Linked DNA regions of Daphnia pulex. The protein of the gene in region 1 binds, or shares a complex with, the protein of each later gene. Links are inferred from orthologs where the notes say so. Each region holds a gene or a part of one and is shown on either strand. Other genes may lie near its edges. The genes, in order: trafficking protein particle complex subunit 8-like, trafficking protein particle complex subunit 11-like and trafficking protein particle complex subunit 9-like.

Region 1 (5,071 bases):
TCTTCCTGCAGAATGGTCATAATCGTACCATCCCGTTCCACTACTTCGACAAAGCGTTGACCACGTATCTGCAAACTTGCAAGTCCGTTTTAATCATACGAGTCATGCCGTTCAGCCAAACTTTAGTGCACGTTTCCCATTTACAGGATGCCGTATTGGGCCACGCGCTGTGCCGTGTTGGCATCCGAGTGCCTTAAAGCGACGAATCAATACAGTGACGCCGCTCTACAACTAATTCGACTTACCAGTGAAGACGCCGATTTGCGAAGCGCCGTCCTTCTAGAACAAGCTGCCCTTTGTTTTCTTCGATCTGCCGTCAAACCAAATTCGTCATCTGGCGGTAATTTAAATGTCGGAAGATTGAAACTTTAAAAGAATAAATAAACCAATTTTGGTCTTAATTTTTAGATGCCGCCAAGCCGAACATGGTGCCCCTCATCCGCAAATACGCCTTCCACATGATTCTGGCTGGTCATCGGTTTGGCAAGTCGGGGCAAAAGCGCCACGCTTCTCGAGCTTATCAACTCGCCTTGCAAGTATGTCCTTTAAGCCGCTTATCTTCCCAGATTTTCCTCATAGTCAAATTTGTTCCAGGTGTATAAAGGGCATGGTTGGAGCTTAGCTGAAGATCACATACACTACACAGTAGGGCGACAATGCTTAAATCGACAACAGATTGAAGCAGCTTGTCATGCGTTGGGTGCTCTTTTAAAGCCAGATTCTTTGCAGACTGCCGCTCAGCAAACCGCCTATTTAAATGAATTCATTCACGTTCACCAGGTAACTGGTTTTTAATTAATTTTTTTGCAATATGATATTTCATAAATTTTTTTAACCCAAAACAGTTGTTAAATAAACACCGAGAAAACGAAATCAAAACGTCAACTTCACTTCCAGTGTTACCCCTGCCTGTGATCGATAGCAACCAGATCAGAGTATTAGTTGACACGAAAGATCCCACGGAAAACATTTGTCCGCCCGTGTCTGAGGCCTCTCATGTCACCTTCAACGACGACGAAGTTCATCACGCAAAGTACGTTTGTCACCTAACTATTTTTAAAATAATCATCAATAATGGAATGGTTGTGTTGTATAGGTGGGCCAATATGGAAGAGAAACTGGTGCAGTCGGCCTTTGGCACAACTCATGCCATGTTCCGGCCTACCAATCTTCTATTTTCTAATACGACCAACAATACGGCTCATCCACAAACGTATTGTGATGGTAAAAGAAATTAATTTTTCGGTTTTAGAAGATAAATTCTAATTTATATTTCATGGTTTTTTTAGACCTCATTAGTTTAGAATTACCTTTGACCAACCCCTTGCGCATTCCTGTCCTATTATGTGACATTCGTCTAGTGTGGAACTTCTCTGGAGCGGACGGCAACCTATCAAATCTACTCATGACAAACAACAATCCATTGGTTACCACTTACATTTTACCAAGGATTGTACTGAATCCTTCTTCTTCACATAAGGTTTAATTTGTTTCTGTTTGCAGCTCAATTGCAGCAATGCTAATATTAAGTTTTGCGGTAAAAATTAGGTTGTTTTGAACGTGAAACCCAAAGCAGAGGGAATGCTGACCATTGAAGGAGTCGCTTTTGACCTTCGCCCAGTCAATGTAGAGCCTTCGGCAGCAGTAGTTGGATTAGTGTCGTCAGTGTCAGGTAAGTTTACTAGTGTTTTATGTTGGTTAATTTTCGTCAAATTTAAACTGAAATTTTGCTTTAGGGCGAGTAATGTTTAGCTTGCAGGGCCCGAGGTTAAATGCGACCCAACAGGAACGTCATGGCAAAGTATATGCTTCTGACAAAAGACTCTCGATCCAAGTCGGGCCACGCATGCCTAAATTGCAAGTGCTGTTCCACTCCTTACCAGAATTTCTATTTAGCGGAGAAATTCGCCCAGTGGTGGTCGAACTCTCCAACATTTGCCCTAGTGTACCCGTTGCCAATATAATTATCGCTTCCAACGATCCCTTACACCTCGCTTTCGACCTTCCCCGCATTGAGAGCAAAAATGTTCGAAATGATCAAATTGCACTCTACCGTTGGGATCCCACTCAAAAATCAATTAAAATGTGGTTGAAAGGCACCGAAAACGTTGGGTTAACATCATTGGATCTCATGTTTTTCTCTACTAATCCCGCCATAAAAGCCAGGTAATTGGAAATTAAAATTGGATTGATGAGAAATAATTGACTTACAATTTGTTTGTAAAGATATCGTCTACTTCGCCACTGTTCGAAAATCTTTGTCTCTTCATCATTGAGCCTCGGTGCCTGGGTTCAAAGAGTTCCGAGTGGGGAGGATCGCACTGAAACATTGGCCGTTCAACTCCAAGTTCGGAACCTCAGAGACGTAATTCAATTAAATTTCACGAAACAATTGATACTTCAGAAAATAATATTGGGATATATTTCAGGCGGATGACACATCACTAAGTGGTATTGAAGTTTCGCAGGTGGCTCTTCTTAGCAATCGATGGCATTTGCGTTCTGATCAGTCAACAATTCCAGGTGCTATAATTACTGAACTTGTTTAAAGCAAATAACAACGTGTTTTGTGTCTTGTTTAGACGGAGTACTTCATCCACAAGAAAGCCTCATTGGGGTGCTATTGGCCATCCGAGGAACTGAAAAGAGAGAATACAACGAGAGTGTTGTGCTAAAATTACCAAGCCATGGACGAGCTGTCGATTTCCAACTCGACCCATACCGATCATTCGTTAAAGAATTTCAGAAAACTACACCCGACACAACTCTGGTTGTGTGCTGGACGGTAAAATATTATACTGTACAACATTTTGAGTTAAATCAACGATCTAATTTGTTTTCTTCTTGACTAGGCTACGCAAGCTTCTGAAGATGGATTTGGTACTTTACTCATAGAAGGGCAACATTACTTTGGTTGGAATTCCCAAGATATAGCAAGGTTAGAACTGTTCAATTAACTTTAAATTTATGCTGCTGAGTAACTGTTTCCTTATAACTGTCTTTTTTCTTTTTAGCTCAAGTTTGCCAGAAACCAGTTTGAAATCACATCAGCAGTTGGTTTCCTACTCCATGGAGTATTCAACAAAAGTGTTTCATGATTTTGACCAACAGAAGTAAGTTGGGTCTACATAGTAGGCCTAGTTCTTTAAAAACAAGTGTTTCAATTATTTTTTGAATTTCATCACTTCATTATCATTGCATATTTTTCTAATAGGTTGTGTGTTATACCAGTAACTTTGTATCTTCACAATTGCAGTCAGCAACAAGTCGATGTTCATTATTCAGCCAACTTCAATACAGGGTAAAATTTATAATGACATTAACAAATTTTTATTCACCCCAACCAAGTGATTTTTTCCCCAGGAAACCCCCACGTGCTTCTCAGTTGTACATGCCTGAAGCTGCTTCTCCCCTACTTTGGATAGGTCGTGTTCAAGGAGATGTTTGTTTGAAAGATACACCTGAAGCAGTTCACTTGACTATAGCAGTTTCAAGGCCAGGTGCTTACAGTCTTGTTCAAGGGTTACAAATCGATGCAAGAATGTTGGGTGAAAATGTTAGAGTACCAAGTCCAAAAATTGAGTATACATTGATTGTTGATCACAAGGAAGTTTAATTGTATTATGTAGGTGAAAAAATAAAGTTGTTCAGATTTTAATCATTGACTCCAATTTCCAAGAAGCTTCTCAATTGAAGGATACATCCATTCATCTTTGGAAAGATTACGAGCTTCTTCATTTATCTTCTTCAATCTTTCTTCGTGAGCTTCCAGCTCTGTTGAGGAAAGGATTTGGGAGATGTACCTTTCAAATGACACTTTCATGAAAGCTTGATCGGTTTTCTCCTTTTCACTCACACCTAGTTCCATTTCAGTTCGGTTTGCTCCTTGTGTAACTTTGGGAGGGATTTCTTGTTGACCAGGGGACAACATCAGTGTTCTTCTTAAATTCGCTCCAATTACTGTTAAATTTTTCAATGGAAATTTTTAAGTGATGCATCAATGCATCAAGTGGGGAAAAAAATTAATTGGCTTACAGCTGTTTTGGTTCATCTTTAACTTGATGGAATAAACAAGAAAATCTTGGAAAAAAACTCGGAAGTCTCAAATAACTGCAAACAGTTGCAACAGCAGACGACAGAATGAATTAGTTGACAGCTGGAAGGCGGAAGCAGCACACCTTGTGGTCGCGGGAGGAATACAAATACAATCTCCCGATAAAGATTCTATCCCAAACGAAGCTGCCCCACCTATCGTCCAATTAGTTGGCGTTTTCCACTCAGGTCTTCACTACTAATTTCATTACAACATTTATTAATACTTTTTATTATATTCAAAATTGAAATTACCGTAATTTAACGTAATTTAATTACGTTATAATAGAGGAGAAGATGACGGTTATGGCAATGACGTAATCACACTTCACATAGTCAACATTGACTCATGTTAATATTGACTTGAATCTCAATGTCATTGAGGATAAAATTAATTTGATTTGTTAAACAAGAAATTTTATTGAAATAGTCAAAGGGTTTTTAGAGTATATCAATAGAGTTTAAAGCTTTAATCGTACGAACTACCGACACAATTTCGGAGCGTGAGACCAACTAGCAAAGACAACGGGATTTTGTGGGTTACAAACTTACGATCTTTACGATGGACGTCATTTGTATAAACAGAGCGTCTAGTAGATCGGGAAGCGAGTTTAGAAGTGAGACGAAAAAAGAGAACTCGTACAGTATATGGTTTAGTAATGGACCGTATATCGGAAGAGAAAAATTCAGTTTATATATGTATACAAGTATACACAATGGGAGTATTACAAAAAAGGAGGGGAAATATTATTCCATTTTCATCAAAAGAAGAAGAGCGAAATTAGGTATGAGAAATTTGTTGGAAAAAAGAGATGACGTCCGAAGACGTGATTTGTTCTGCCGGTAGTTTCTTTGGAGCCCATTGAGAGTCTTTTCACAGACCGCTGACTTCCAATGGGAAAGAACCCAAAATGGGTGACTACGAAACTCAACTGCAAGTACGGACTGGAGATACTCAGCATAGAAACATGATTTGACT
Region 2 (5,754 bases), on another chromosome or scaffold:
GTTCAGTGTTTAAAATAAAACGTGAGTAGTCTCTCAAAGGACTAGATTATTCATGCTGTTTTTGCAGGAAGTTTGCTGGAGATTTGGCTGGTAAAATTGCTGCTAAATGTCGCTTCCACTCTACCGCTTTCCAATGTGAAATCTAATACAGAATAAAATATTAGCCTTCCCTTCAAATTTGCAAAAACATGATTCCTTAATTTACTTTTTTGATTGCCAGCAGTTAGCTCAGCAGCAGTGGTAGCCAACAAAGTGCTATTATCACAGCTGTCAAGCAAATAGTCGCATATCGTCGTCTCGTTCAATACCGGTAACTTACTTTTCGCGATCCACAACGGCTTCGACACGACTGGAAAAACAATTGAAATAAAAGCGATTGTCTTTTTGGTAACGAAGATCAAAAAGTAAAAAAACAAATAAACCCTTACATTCGATGTACATTGCGATTCCAATAGCGACTAGTCCGACTACTGCGAGGCAGATGAAGAAAATGCCAATCATGGAACACGCCGACATTCTTTTCTTGGACCCATGCACCCCAGCTGATGGTCGTCCAGATTTGACTGGATGCAATTCTAAAGGACTTTCACTCATGTCGACTCGGTGGTGATCACACTTTTCTCTTGTTGGATCGACACTACCAGTAATAGCCCGTGTTACGCAAATCAGACCCGATCTATCAGTTCAAGAAATTTCAATTAAAACACTAAAAATACCATAAAGTTATGGAAAGAAAAATTTACTTGAGATCGAAGCAACCAGTGGTTTGATGGCTAACATCGGAATTCCAACTCGAATCATTATCGCCAATAGATGATCTAGCGGTTGGATGATTTGGGCCGCCAATATCGACGGAAGTGAAGCTGCTCTCCAATCCTGACGTGGCCAAGCATGGCGGCATCGCACCACCAGACACCACAATGACTTTTTCTCTCGACTGTCGATTCAATTTTCAATCAATTAGTTTAAGCAATACAACAAAACAAATTGCTGCACAAGTAAACTCAACTGGAAAGTAAACTGGGACGGAAGGTGAAATCGGCGTCGACGGTTGTTGGCAAAGAGAGAGGGGCGTGACATAAGCGTCGACATCGGGTTTGATTATGCCGAAACTGGTACACAGACTCAATGGCGAATGACAGTTGTTGTTGTCTTGGATCTTTAGTGTATACGATGGTGGAGACTGAAATTCCAAACGAGTCTGAATTCGGTCGACATCTTCCACGACGATTGATGGTGTCGATTGCAAATGTCTAGCCATTTTCCTTGTTAACCTAACACCTCGTGGAATAATTTAATAACATTGCAAATAAAGTAATGAGAAGAATTGATGTACCTTAAATTAAATGCCAAAAGAACCACCGATAAAACTAGTACCAATTGGAATTAATAAAGGTGACACGTGACGACGCTCTTACAGCGCGGCGTTTTTCGACTGCAATCTGTAACAAGGGGCGAGTAATAAACTAAGATTATTTTCTTTATGGCAAATCAAGGGATGGGTTCAATAAAAATTAAATTTGTCAGACAAAATTTGGCAACTCTGAATCCGTTCTTAATTGCGCATGGGGCATGGGGTCCGAAGTTCTCTTTTGTTATAGCCTTATCGGTACGATGAGTAACAATTTTGTTTTGAATAATTTGTTAATTACTACGAAAGCCTAATGATAAAAGAGTTCGTGGAATTTTAAAGGGTGTTCCATGACTCATTCCCATGTCCCATCAACATGCTGTTTTGTTTGTTTTCAAATGGTTTTCCAACCCTATTGAATTAATTAAGCTTAATTAATTAGGAAGGCATATTTCCGCGAATTACTTCCACGTTGTCTTAACATTGTTCTGGGTGCAGGGTATGTACAAAACAAACTAAGAAAATATCAAAGAAAGTTTACCTTAAATTTTGAAAATTGGCAAACTGGCAATACAGCATTATTTTTTGTTTTTCTATGTTTGATATTTCGTCTGCTACCGGGGTAGAGTTTTAGGGTGGAAATTGTTCGTAGTTTTGTTTTGGCTTCTCATGGTTTTTACACATTGTTCATCATCGCCCTTGAAGTTAGAAAAATAATGAGCTCGGATCTCGAATTACCCGAAGAGTTGGTGGATCGACCGTTAGCGTTGGTCGGTCTGACGGGACTGAATGTTGAAACGAATCAGACTCACCTGCTGATATGGAACTCTTTCACGTCATCTAATCGAAGCGAGAGACCTCCCCTCCATTTCGTTCTTTTTGGAGTTAATCATGCATTCCCCCTGGCGAAACCTGATGTAATTTATCTTTTAGGTTGAGAGATCAAAGTTTTTTTTAAATGTTTGTTTTTCACTCATTTGTTTTAGAGAACGTCATATGAATGGTACATTCCTAAAGGCATCCTCAAAAGAAAATGGATGTCCAAACACCTGAAACAGATTCCAGGTGTCTTGGTTCTCTTCTATGATTTGGAGTGGGACGATCCTGCATGGAAAGCTAAACATGCAGAATGTGCACATCTAATCCAAACAACTCGGTAAATCATTCAGTCATAAACTTGAACTCAAATATTTTGTTATTAACTATAATTTTTCTATCCAGTATGAAGCTTATGGGAAGGGGTAGTAAGCTCTGCCTAGTCCTCTTACAAAATAGCCCTCCATTACCTTCCAGTGAAGATATTTTGGCAGCAGATAGAGCTGCAGCTTTGTGCCAAGTGTGTGAATTACCACCTAAATCGCTCTTTGTCCTTCCTTGCCGTAGCGATCATCTACAGGGATACACCTTGAGGTATCACGTTATTTTAAATGTAGTCGTGAGTTATATAATGTTACACTATACTACGAAACAGGTTGGAGAGCGCATTTTACGAACTTTGTCAAAGTAGTTATCATTTGTCATCGAGGGCCGTTCGCTCCCACCGCGACCAATTGAACCGTACAAATCACGGCTACTTGTTTGTGAGACATCAGTTTAAAATCGGATTTTACCACGAGCTTAAGCAGGACGTTGCCATGGCGCACAAGCATTACAGCCAATCGTATGCCCATTTGCTAGAGCTTCGCATCACAGATGCCAATGTCACTGAAGTGAAGATTGTCGCTGGATACATCGGCTACAAGGTCTGGCGTCTCTCGTTCTTGCTCAATCTGCCTCGCGAAGCTATCGCCCATTTCAGGAGTCACATGGACTTTTTTCGGCTGCGGATTGGTAACCCTTTGAGCAAATTCGAACATCACGCCTGGCTGGCTGCCCAGTAAAATTAAAATAAAATTTATTTCAAAAATTATTTTTCATTAAATTTTACGAATTCTTTTGTTTAGATTTTCGACGTTTGGCAGTTTGTTTGACGATGCGATTGAGTTAGGACTTCCGGCAATCCAGACTCAACATCCTGGCTTCTTCTACCAACAGTCTGCGCAGCAATCCATCCTAAGGAAGAAGGCTTGCTACCAAGATTACGATGCTCTCGACGAAACTGTCATTAATAACTTGACTCCATTATCGTTCGGCGAATCGTCACAATTGGAATTCTTCGGTCAAAGACCCTGGCGACCTAGTCGGTTGAGTCTTGAACCAGCTGATATGAAAGCTGAGAACGACGGGATTGCTGCAATGTTAATCCGCGAAAGACATCAAGTTGATCTCACGGTACTGCCTTTTATTAAAACATTTCCTATTTTGATAAGCGATTTTAACTTGGTGTGTAGGGTATGATCGTTGCTGCTCTTACAAATGCAGTAAATCAATTTAAAAATCACCGATCTCCTCGGATGAAGCAGTATTTATGTAATTTATCACTTACACTTTTAAAAGTCAGTATCAGAGCAAACTAAAATTTTTCTTCTCCTAGTGGTACAAATGGCGGAAGAATATTGCCGATCGGAAAACTTTGCGGAAGCCCTTACGTAATAAAAATTGACTTCAACTTTTATTTTAATTTATTATTAATGGAAATTAACGCTTTGTATAGGTTGCTCGAACCTTTGCTCTGGGATTACCGCAAAGATTTCTGGTGGATGCCACTGACATCTTTACTCCAGTTGGGTTTGCGTTGTGCTTTTCTTTCCGGTCGGCCTGCCGAATACTTCACATATGCCGTAGAATTGTGTTCCCGGGTGACGATGAAAAGCCAAGATGAAAAGGGCCAATTATTCGATAATCTCATCGGAATCCTACAAAAGAGGATACCACCGCCGCCTCCCGACTCTACCGCGGTTTCGTTGGCTACTCAACTATGGGCTGATCAATTTGCAAGTTTGGCCAGCGGCGCCTGCGTAACCACGATCGTTACCAACACGATTTCGTCATTCGTTGAAGTCAAGGCCACTTTTACTCAAAAGCAATTTGCTGCCGAAGATGTTGTCGAACTCGAAGTTCACGTTAGGTAAAGAGTTGGAATTACTCTTGAAATACAAATTTAATAATAACTTTAATTTCATAATAGTTATACGGGTCCAAAGGCGATACAGTTCACCAGTTTACACGTGGCTCTCAACAATACTGCCTATTTGCCCTTTTGTCAAGTGAAGGATCCGGAAGAGTTGGAATTTGAACCCAATCAGATCCGACACTACGAGTTTGAATTTGCTGCGCAATCTCAAGACATTGGTGCGGAACTTCAAGTAGGTTTAACTTTGATTGGCAATTGAAGAAGAGAAAGTAATTTCATCCATCCATAGATTGTTTCAGTCACGTTGGAGATGGGGCATGACCTTGTGGCTTATTTGCGATGCGAAGGATCTTCCAGTGAAGAATTTGGGTCATCACGTTCTGAATTTCCTTCGGCTACAGAGAAAGGTTTGTCCGGTTTGTTTGTATTGAACACGGCCGAAATTCTGCCCCGGACTGCAAACGTTGAGCTTTTGATCCGACATGACGCCCCGGCCCTTCGTGGTGAATGTTATCCGCTTCACCTTGAATTGGTCAATCGGGAAAAAGAAGATATTAGCAACGTCACGGTGACTGTGACGACTAGCAGCACTGACGGCCGAGTTCACGACCAGCCTAAAATCGACGGCAATTTGTCGGTTCAGTTGAAGAGCGAAGAAATCGCAACCGGGCAAACATGCCAATGGAACGTGTTTACTCAAATGGAGCAGCCTGGTAAACATTACGTCACGTTTCAGGTCAATTACGAAATAACCAGCGAGGTGTGCAATAGTAAATGCACTTACAAGAGTCAGTACGTCAAAACGCTCGAGCTGGAAACGGTCCAACCCGTCGAGTGTGAGGCTCAGTTTCAGACGATCCAGTTCCAGCCATTGAGACAGATCCCCGTAGGAGAGCCTTGTGTCGCTGTGATGACGGTGACCAACTTGTCGCCATTTCCTTTACTGCTGGAGCAAGGCGTTTGGAAATTTGACCCATTGCTAACCAATCAACCCATGCCCAATAGTCAGCTATCTGGGTTGACACTTCAAAAAGGAGAAAAAGCCAACGATGTGGCCGTACTTTCACTTTCGAATGGGGACAATCGCCATATAAGGACAGGATCCTACTCTTTGAAATGGAAAAGGTATTAATCTTTCAAGTCACTGTTGTTGGCACTGGAAATTTTTGACTTAACACGGCAAATTTAGGGCGAATCAATCAAAAGTGGAAGGATATAAAATTCCTTACTCGGCCAGTTCGTTCGACTTACCCGAAATGGAAACCTGGAGCATTCCGTTGCGAATTCAAGTCAAACTACCTGCTCACGGATACGTTCGAGAGTCAATGAACATGGCTATCATCATTCACAATCCAGGCACTAGCTACGTTGAACTGGATGTCTACATGAG
Region 3 (5,677 bases), on another chromosome or scaffold:
TTGCGCTCAATGCGCTAAATAGTCGGATTAAGTTCATCACATAAATTACGAAGCGCGCATATAATTTGCTAAAATAAATATTTAGCGATAGATCTAGCGCAAAATATATTGACTTCATTATTTTTCGCGCTAAATATTTATTTTTGCTAGTTATTTGCGTTTGTAAATTATTTAATGAATTTAAATGCGCTTAATTTGACGCATTGCCTGCAAGTAAATCTTTAGTTAATTATTAGCGCAATGGGCGCTTAAGAAAGAAAGCGCTACATCTAGCGCGAACTATTTAAAATGTTTGGCCCAGCGAGCCGTGTAAAACTTTGGACGGACGACGATTAGCGCTAATAAGGTAGCGAACGGACTCGCGACAAACGCTAATATGATGTACGGGCGCACGCTTCTCGTCCCGTCTCGTCCATTTGCGGTAATCGTTTACCCTTTCGCAACATTTTATTAAAATTAACGAAACGCTTGCGCGTTTCCTAAATAATGCAATGAAATAAATTGCCCTAAATATAGCGAATCACGCGCAAGTTTATCGCAAACACATAGCTAGTCCCACGATCGCTTCGATAGCGCTAGATCTAGCGCGAAACATTTCAATTAATTATTTTTCACGCAATGATCCGCCGAAAACAGCGGAAGGAGCAGCGGAAATAGCGGACGGGCTCGCATTACTCGTCTAACCAGTCAGCGCAGTGGTTTCCCTTTGCATTCAATACAAACAAATAATTTAGAGCCATTCGCATTAAGTAGCGTTATTTAAGCGCTTTCGCTTTTTTAAATATAGGATTAAATAATACGCTCAAATTGAGCACATATCGCGCAATAAGCGTTAAACATTTATTTTATCGCTTGCGTGTTTCGTAAGCTATAAACGGACTCGAGACAAGCGCTAAAATTATCAACGGGTGTGCGCAACTTGTCCAGTCGCCGCAATCGTTTTACCTGTCGCATTTATTACTTTTATTAACGAAGCGCTTGGGCGTTTCGTAAATAATACAATGAAATAAATTGCGCTAAATATATATTTAGCGCATCGCGCGCAAGTTTATCGCAAACCAATTGCTAGCGCAACGCGCGCTTATTGCAAATCATTTGAATGGCTTATTAGCTTATAATGAGCCGCCGAAAACAGCGAACGGGCGACAGCGCTAAAATAGCAAACGGACCAGCGATAAGCGCTTTTAAAAAATCGGACGGGCTCACGTTACTCGTCTGACCAGTCGCCGCAGTCAGCCGCAGTCGTTTTACTTCGCTTGACATTTAAAAAAATAAAAATTTAGAGCGACGCGCATTAGGTAGCGTTATTTAAGCGCTTGCTCGTTTTTTTATTTTGTGATTAAATGCCCGTTTGTACTACTGGATTCAAACTGGCTATAAAGGGGGTGGAGATGTGGCATGAAGTAATTATTTTGACCGCTAGGTGGCTGCCGTTTTTATATTGAACTTTTTTGGGATTATATATTGAACTTTTTGGGGGTTTTATATTGACTTTTTTTTGCTTTTTATATCAACTTTTTGTTTTTTATATTACACTCTTCTTGGTTTTTATATAATACTTTTTTCAGTTTTATATTGAATTTGTTTTTTATATATTCTTTTCTGTTTTATATAATGATATTTTGAAAATCATTATTATATTGAAAAAGTGGCGGTTTTGGGCTTCCTTAGTGAAATTAACCCAACCCGACAGGCTTTAACACGGCGAGGGAAAGAGTCCCGTCCTTAGGGCTGTGGCCCGGGCGATGAAAACCCGGGCCACCGCCCGGGCTGAACGAAAAAAAACCCAACCCGACTCGACCCACCGAGGCATTTTTTTTAACGGGGCGGGCGACGGGTTGAACCCCCGGGCCCGCGGGCCAACCCGAGCGGTGGCGCCATCTAGTAGTCAAATAGAGAAGCTCGTTATTCTCTATGCCTGCGGCCTCAAAATATTGCCGCCAAATGCTCTACGATAATTTCGTAGCATGAAAAGTAAGATAAGTGGTAGAAAAGGGCGTTCAGGGGTGTTCAGAAGACAGAATTGACGTGTCACTGTTGGAAGAAGAAGATAATTAAGAAATTTAGGGATTTTTTTTAAGTTTGTAAAAAAAAAGTGTGTTTGACCCGATTTTTTACCCGGGCCGTTACCCGACCGGTATAAATTTTTTGACCCATGGGTTGGCCCGGGCCAAACCCGGTCACTCAGTTGGCCCAACCCGCTACGACCCGCGGAAGAAGAAAAACCCGTCTAAAAAACCCATTAAAAAAAAACCCGCTAAAAACGTCCCGGGCCACAGCCCTACCCGTCCTCTTAAATAGAGTAGTCCATGGCCTGGTTATAAACTGTATGTGGTTTTGCTGTTTCGACTTCACGATTGTTTTCAATTTTCTAGACAAGAACAGTAACTAGTCATTTCAGGTTAGATTTACTGGTGTCGATGCTTGATGGTGTCATGGGAAAGGAGCAGAATTAATTTTTGAATTAATTTTAATGACACAGTTTGAGTATTGACACACTTGAAAATTGAAGTAAAAATCTTCATTATTATTTAACATATTCATTACGGTTTCATATTTGTTTCATAACAGGTTTTAAGAAGAAGAATTCTGGAAGTGATTGATAATAACGTTATCATTTCTGTGTTGTTCAGTTCAACGCAAACAAGGAAGAAAACTATAACAACTTATATCCTCATGCGATCCGCTGTTAGTGCAATTTTGTCATCTCCAGCTCCTGAGTCAAATATGTCTCACCCAGATTATAGACAAGTAAACAATTATGTTAAAAAATATGAAAATACATCTCATTTCCAATTTTAATTCCAGACAGCCCATGATCATGCTTCCTTATTAATTATGGTGAGGCATCTTGGGTCAAAGCTCAACACCAGAAACTTTTCTAGACTCTATGAACGAATATCAAGGCAAAACAGTTTTAGGATTAAAGATAGCTCAGGAAGTGTGAGAAATATTTCAGCCCGCTATGTAAGATCCTATCCTATTGAAAACAACGAATGGGGAGATTTCCAGGTGAGTTATATTTTGGAACATAAATTTTCACAATTTTTATAGACCTTGGAATTTAGACCCATCGTAGAGTTCTTGGCCTTATTTGTGTTGGTGAATGCTCAAACACACAGGAAGTGAGTGAACTGAGCAAAATTCATGAATCTTTAAGATCAAAATTCAGTGGAACTTTGTATGATTCATGCTGCCTTTTTCTGGGGCTACAACATGATGGTAAGTGATAGAATTTGGTTTTCAAATTATGTTATCTTGAGATAAGTTATAAAGGTTAAGTGTTTCCTATTTAATTTTGTTCTGTCTGTTGAAAGGTACACCTTATGTGTCGTCAGTTTCAGAAGCTTCTCCAAACGAGAAACAGCAGCTAGAGCTCTCCAAAGATCCTGAGCATTCAACCTTGCCAATGAAAAATCACAACACACAGATAGAAATACCTTCTTTAACTGATAAAGAAAGGGCAATTACTTGTGACATCAGTCACCAAGATAGTTTTAATGAAACATCAACATCTACAAACTATGATAACATCAGTAAAGTTGTATCTCATCCATCTCGTACTCTCTATTATCCTAGTCTTGACAAATGTGTCACTCTAGAAGCAGATTTACAGGTACTATAACTTGAAGTGCTAAAGCTTTTGATTTCAGTTCATTCTAATTTAGTTTGTTGTGTCAGGATTTTGTTTCTTCCCTTTTTTGGGTATTGGAATCGAAAAGGCTTGTATCGATCAGCAACATCGACAAGGAAAAGCAGCCGTTTTTGTGCGCACCATTCGAACGAAAGGATTTAATTGGTATTAAAAACATTTTTAGGATAACCCAGGTGACATATTGTGTTATCCCTCTCTCAGGAATGGATTTAGAATCTCGAACTCATCGAAAACGTTGTGTTGGTCGATGGAGAAAGCAAGTAGGAGATTTATCTCTTCAGGCAGGTTTGTTATCCGAAGCACTTGAACAGTATCAGGCGGCAGCGGATGTCCTTAGACCTGCGAATGATTGGTACTGAAAGAAATTTAATTTTCTACCAAGTTAGTAGATGATTCGTTTAATGTTCAATAGGCTTTGGCTGGCTGGATCTTTTGAAGGACTTTGCGCTGCATCGATCATACTCTTATATCCTCATCTACGGAGGCCCGTCGCCATCCAGAGAAACGGGTCGTTAACGGGGGAAGGATTTAATAGTCGAATCAGGTATAAACAACATCGCATATGAGTGTATTTTAAATAATAAGGGAAATTCCCAAGCTAAGCAATTGTATTACGTAAGAAATGGTGGCAAAAAACCACAAAAAAATATTAAAATAAAAAACAAAACAAAAAACCTTTCCTTTGTTTACGTTTCGGCGTGATATACCTTGTACACATATTAATTTCCTTTGAGTTTGCTAAAATTCATCAATACGATTTCCTTCAGGTCAAATTCTTCCGGAGTAGGAGTGCGTTCTCTTCCTCCTGATATTGATTCTAATCACCATTTTTTGAAGAATCGGTTGAAATTCAAACATTCCCTTGGACCGGATGAAGTGATTGAAAAGTACCATGAAGCCGTTGTTCATTACTCCAAGTATCGCAATGCAGGAGTTATAGAAACAGAAGCGTCCATAAAAGCTGTCCATGTACTTATTGAACAGGTTCGATTTTTTTTTTTCTAGTTCTTTTCAAAAAGCTGACTTTTCTGTTTTGGCAGAGGAAATACCTTTCGGCTGCTGAATTTTTACAAAATGTTGTTTTTATCAACTTACACCTATCTGATGAAGAAAAGGTTTCAGAACTTTCATGTACCATAATTTATCGATTGAATTGCTTTAAAAATATCAGTTCACATTCTAGATTCAGAGATTTACTGCCCTTTCAGAACTCTACAGTCAATTAGGATTTAAACGGAAAAGCTCATTTTTCCGCCGCGTGTCCGCAATGCGTTGTGTTGCCCCAATGACAACAATTCAACCCAACTGGACACTTTGTTATCAGCTTCTTCTTGAGTCTATTGACGGATATAAACTCTCACTGGATCCTGCATTGCTATCTCATGGTTAACAAATTTTAATACATTTTCTTCATGTGAATATTATCCTTTTTAAATGCTAACAGAACACGCATGTGGGTGGCACGCGCTTCAAGTTCAAATTTTACAAGAACTTACCGGGACTGCAAGGCGATTAGGAAATGTTCCATTGGCCATTCGTCATGCTTCTTTGCTTGTTCACTTGCTTTTGATCCAGCAGCAACAAGTTGGTGCTATTCCAATATTGTCAAGCCAAGAGCAAGCCGAAATGGCTAAGCAGCTTGATCAGCTAGCACAACGCTCAGAAATGCCATTGCATCCTGGGCCACTTGCTCTAGAAAATGGCACCATTATTCCACCGGTGTCCTTAACTCTTTTACCCAAAATTGTTCATTTCAAACTGCAACCACCTGGAGCTGTATTGGCTGCTCAGAGGCTAATGCTCGAAGACGAAATCAACAATGGCCCCTTTTTGTTTACTCCTATTCAGTTTGGGTCTTTCAGAAAGCAACCAACAAGAAAAACTCTAGTTGAAATGGGTCTGTGATTTTATTATTTTTTAAATAAAAAATAATTTGCCAATAATTTTTTTCGAGTTTTAGATTTTCAATGGGTAGAAGGTGATCATTGCGAAGTATTAATACAAGTTATTAATCCTTCTTCT

The links.
Region 2: trafficking protein particle complex subunit 8-like (region 1) and trafficking protein particle complex subunit 11-like share a complex: the UniProt entries of both Homo sapiens proteins name them as parts of the multisubunit TRAPP (transport protein particle) complex. The link is inferred for Daphnia pulex from reciprocal best matches to the Homo sapiens genes TRAPPC8 and TRAPPC11.
Region 3: trafficking protein particle complex subunit 8-like (region 1) and trafficking protein particle complex subunit 9-like share a complex: the UniProt entries of both Homo sapiens proteins name them as parts of the multisubunit TRAPP (transport protein particle) complex. The link is inferred for Daphnia pulex from reciprocal best matches to the Homo sapiens genes TRAPPC8 and TRAPPC9.

Annotation. Positions count from the first base shown.
Region 1 is NC_060026.1:3,046,637-3,051,707, forward strand, and holds the end of trafficking protein particle complex subunit 8-like, read left to right. Parts: coding exon 1-82; intron 83-146; coding exon 147-340; intron 341-408; coding exon 409-536; intron 537-594; coding exon 595-780; intron 781-845; coding exon 846-1,033; intron 1,034-1,096; coding exon 1,097-1,224; intron 1,225-1,289; coding exon 1,290-1,480; intron 1,481-1,548; coding exon 1,549-1,672; intron 1,673-1,736; coding exon 1,737-2,166; intron 2,167-2,226; coding exon 2,227-2,365; intron 2,366-2,429; coding exon 2,430-2,523; intron 2,524-2,582; coding exon 2,583-2,785; intron 2,786-2,852; coding exon 2,853-2,938; intron 2,939-3,014; coding exon 3,015-3,113; intron 3,114-3,214; coding exon 3,215-3,301; intron 3,302-3,363; coding exon 3,364-3,616; 3' UTR 3,617-3,658; downstream 3,659-5,071. Other genes in the region: uncharacterized protein LOC124205264, read right to left, coding at 3,659-3,960, 4,036-4,051. UniProt on the Homo sapiens protein: Plays a role in endoplasmic reticulum to Golgi apparatus trafficking at a very early stage. Maintains together with TBC1D14 the cycling pool of ATG9 required for initiation of autophagy. Involved in collagen secretion.
Region 2 is NC_060025.1:1,286,602-1,292,355, forward strand, and holds the start of trafficking protein particle complex subunit 11-like, read left to right. Parts: upstream 1-1,925; 5' UTR 1,926-2,067; coding exon 2,068-2,268; intron 2,269-2,337; coding exon 2,338-2,507; intron 2,508-2,572; coding exon 2,573-2,761; intron 2,762-2,822; coding exon 2,823-3,227; intron 3,228-3,294; coding exon 3,295-3,622; intron 3,623-3,681; coding exon 3,682-3,760; intron 3,761-3,824; coding exon 3,825-3,879; intron 3,880-3,944; coding exon 3,945-4,358; intron 4,359-4,418; coding exon 4,419-4,596; intron 4,597-4,653; coding exon 4,654-5,489; intron 5,490-5,553; coding exon 5,554-5,754. Other genes in the region: uncharacterized protein LOC124202179, read right to left, coding at 51-142, 206-349, 429-676, 744-937, 1,010-1,261. UniProt on the Homo sapiens protein: Involved in endoplasmic reticulum to Golgi apparatus trafficking at a very early stage.
Region 3 is NC_060024.1:7,058,388-7,064,064, forward strand, and holds the start of trafficking protein particle complex subunit 9-like, read left to right. Parts: upstream 1-2,284; 5' UTR 2,285-2,327; exon of another isoform or gene 2,328-2,511; intron 2,512-2,571; 5' UTR 2,572-2,676; coding exon 2,677-2,751; intron 2,752-2,808; coding exon 2,809-3,012; intron 3,013-3,054; exon of another isoform or gene 3,055-3,068; coding exon 3,069-3,222; intron 3,223-3,317; coding exon 3,318-3,616; intron 3,617-3,681; coding exon 3,682-3,799; intron 3,800-3,856; coding exon 3,857-4,007; intron 4,008-4,067; coding exon 4,068-4,199; intron 4,200-4,422; coding exon 4,423-4,639; intron 4,640-4,695; coding exon 4,696-4,770; intron 4,771-4,838; coding exon 4,839-5,040; intron 5,041-5,099; coding exon 5,100-5,552; intron 5,553-5,615; coding exon 5,616-5,677. UniProt on the Homo sapiens protein: Functions as an activator of NF-kappa-B through increased phosphorylation of the IKK complex. May function in neuronal cells differentiation. May play a role in vesicular transport from endoplasmic reticulum to Golgi.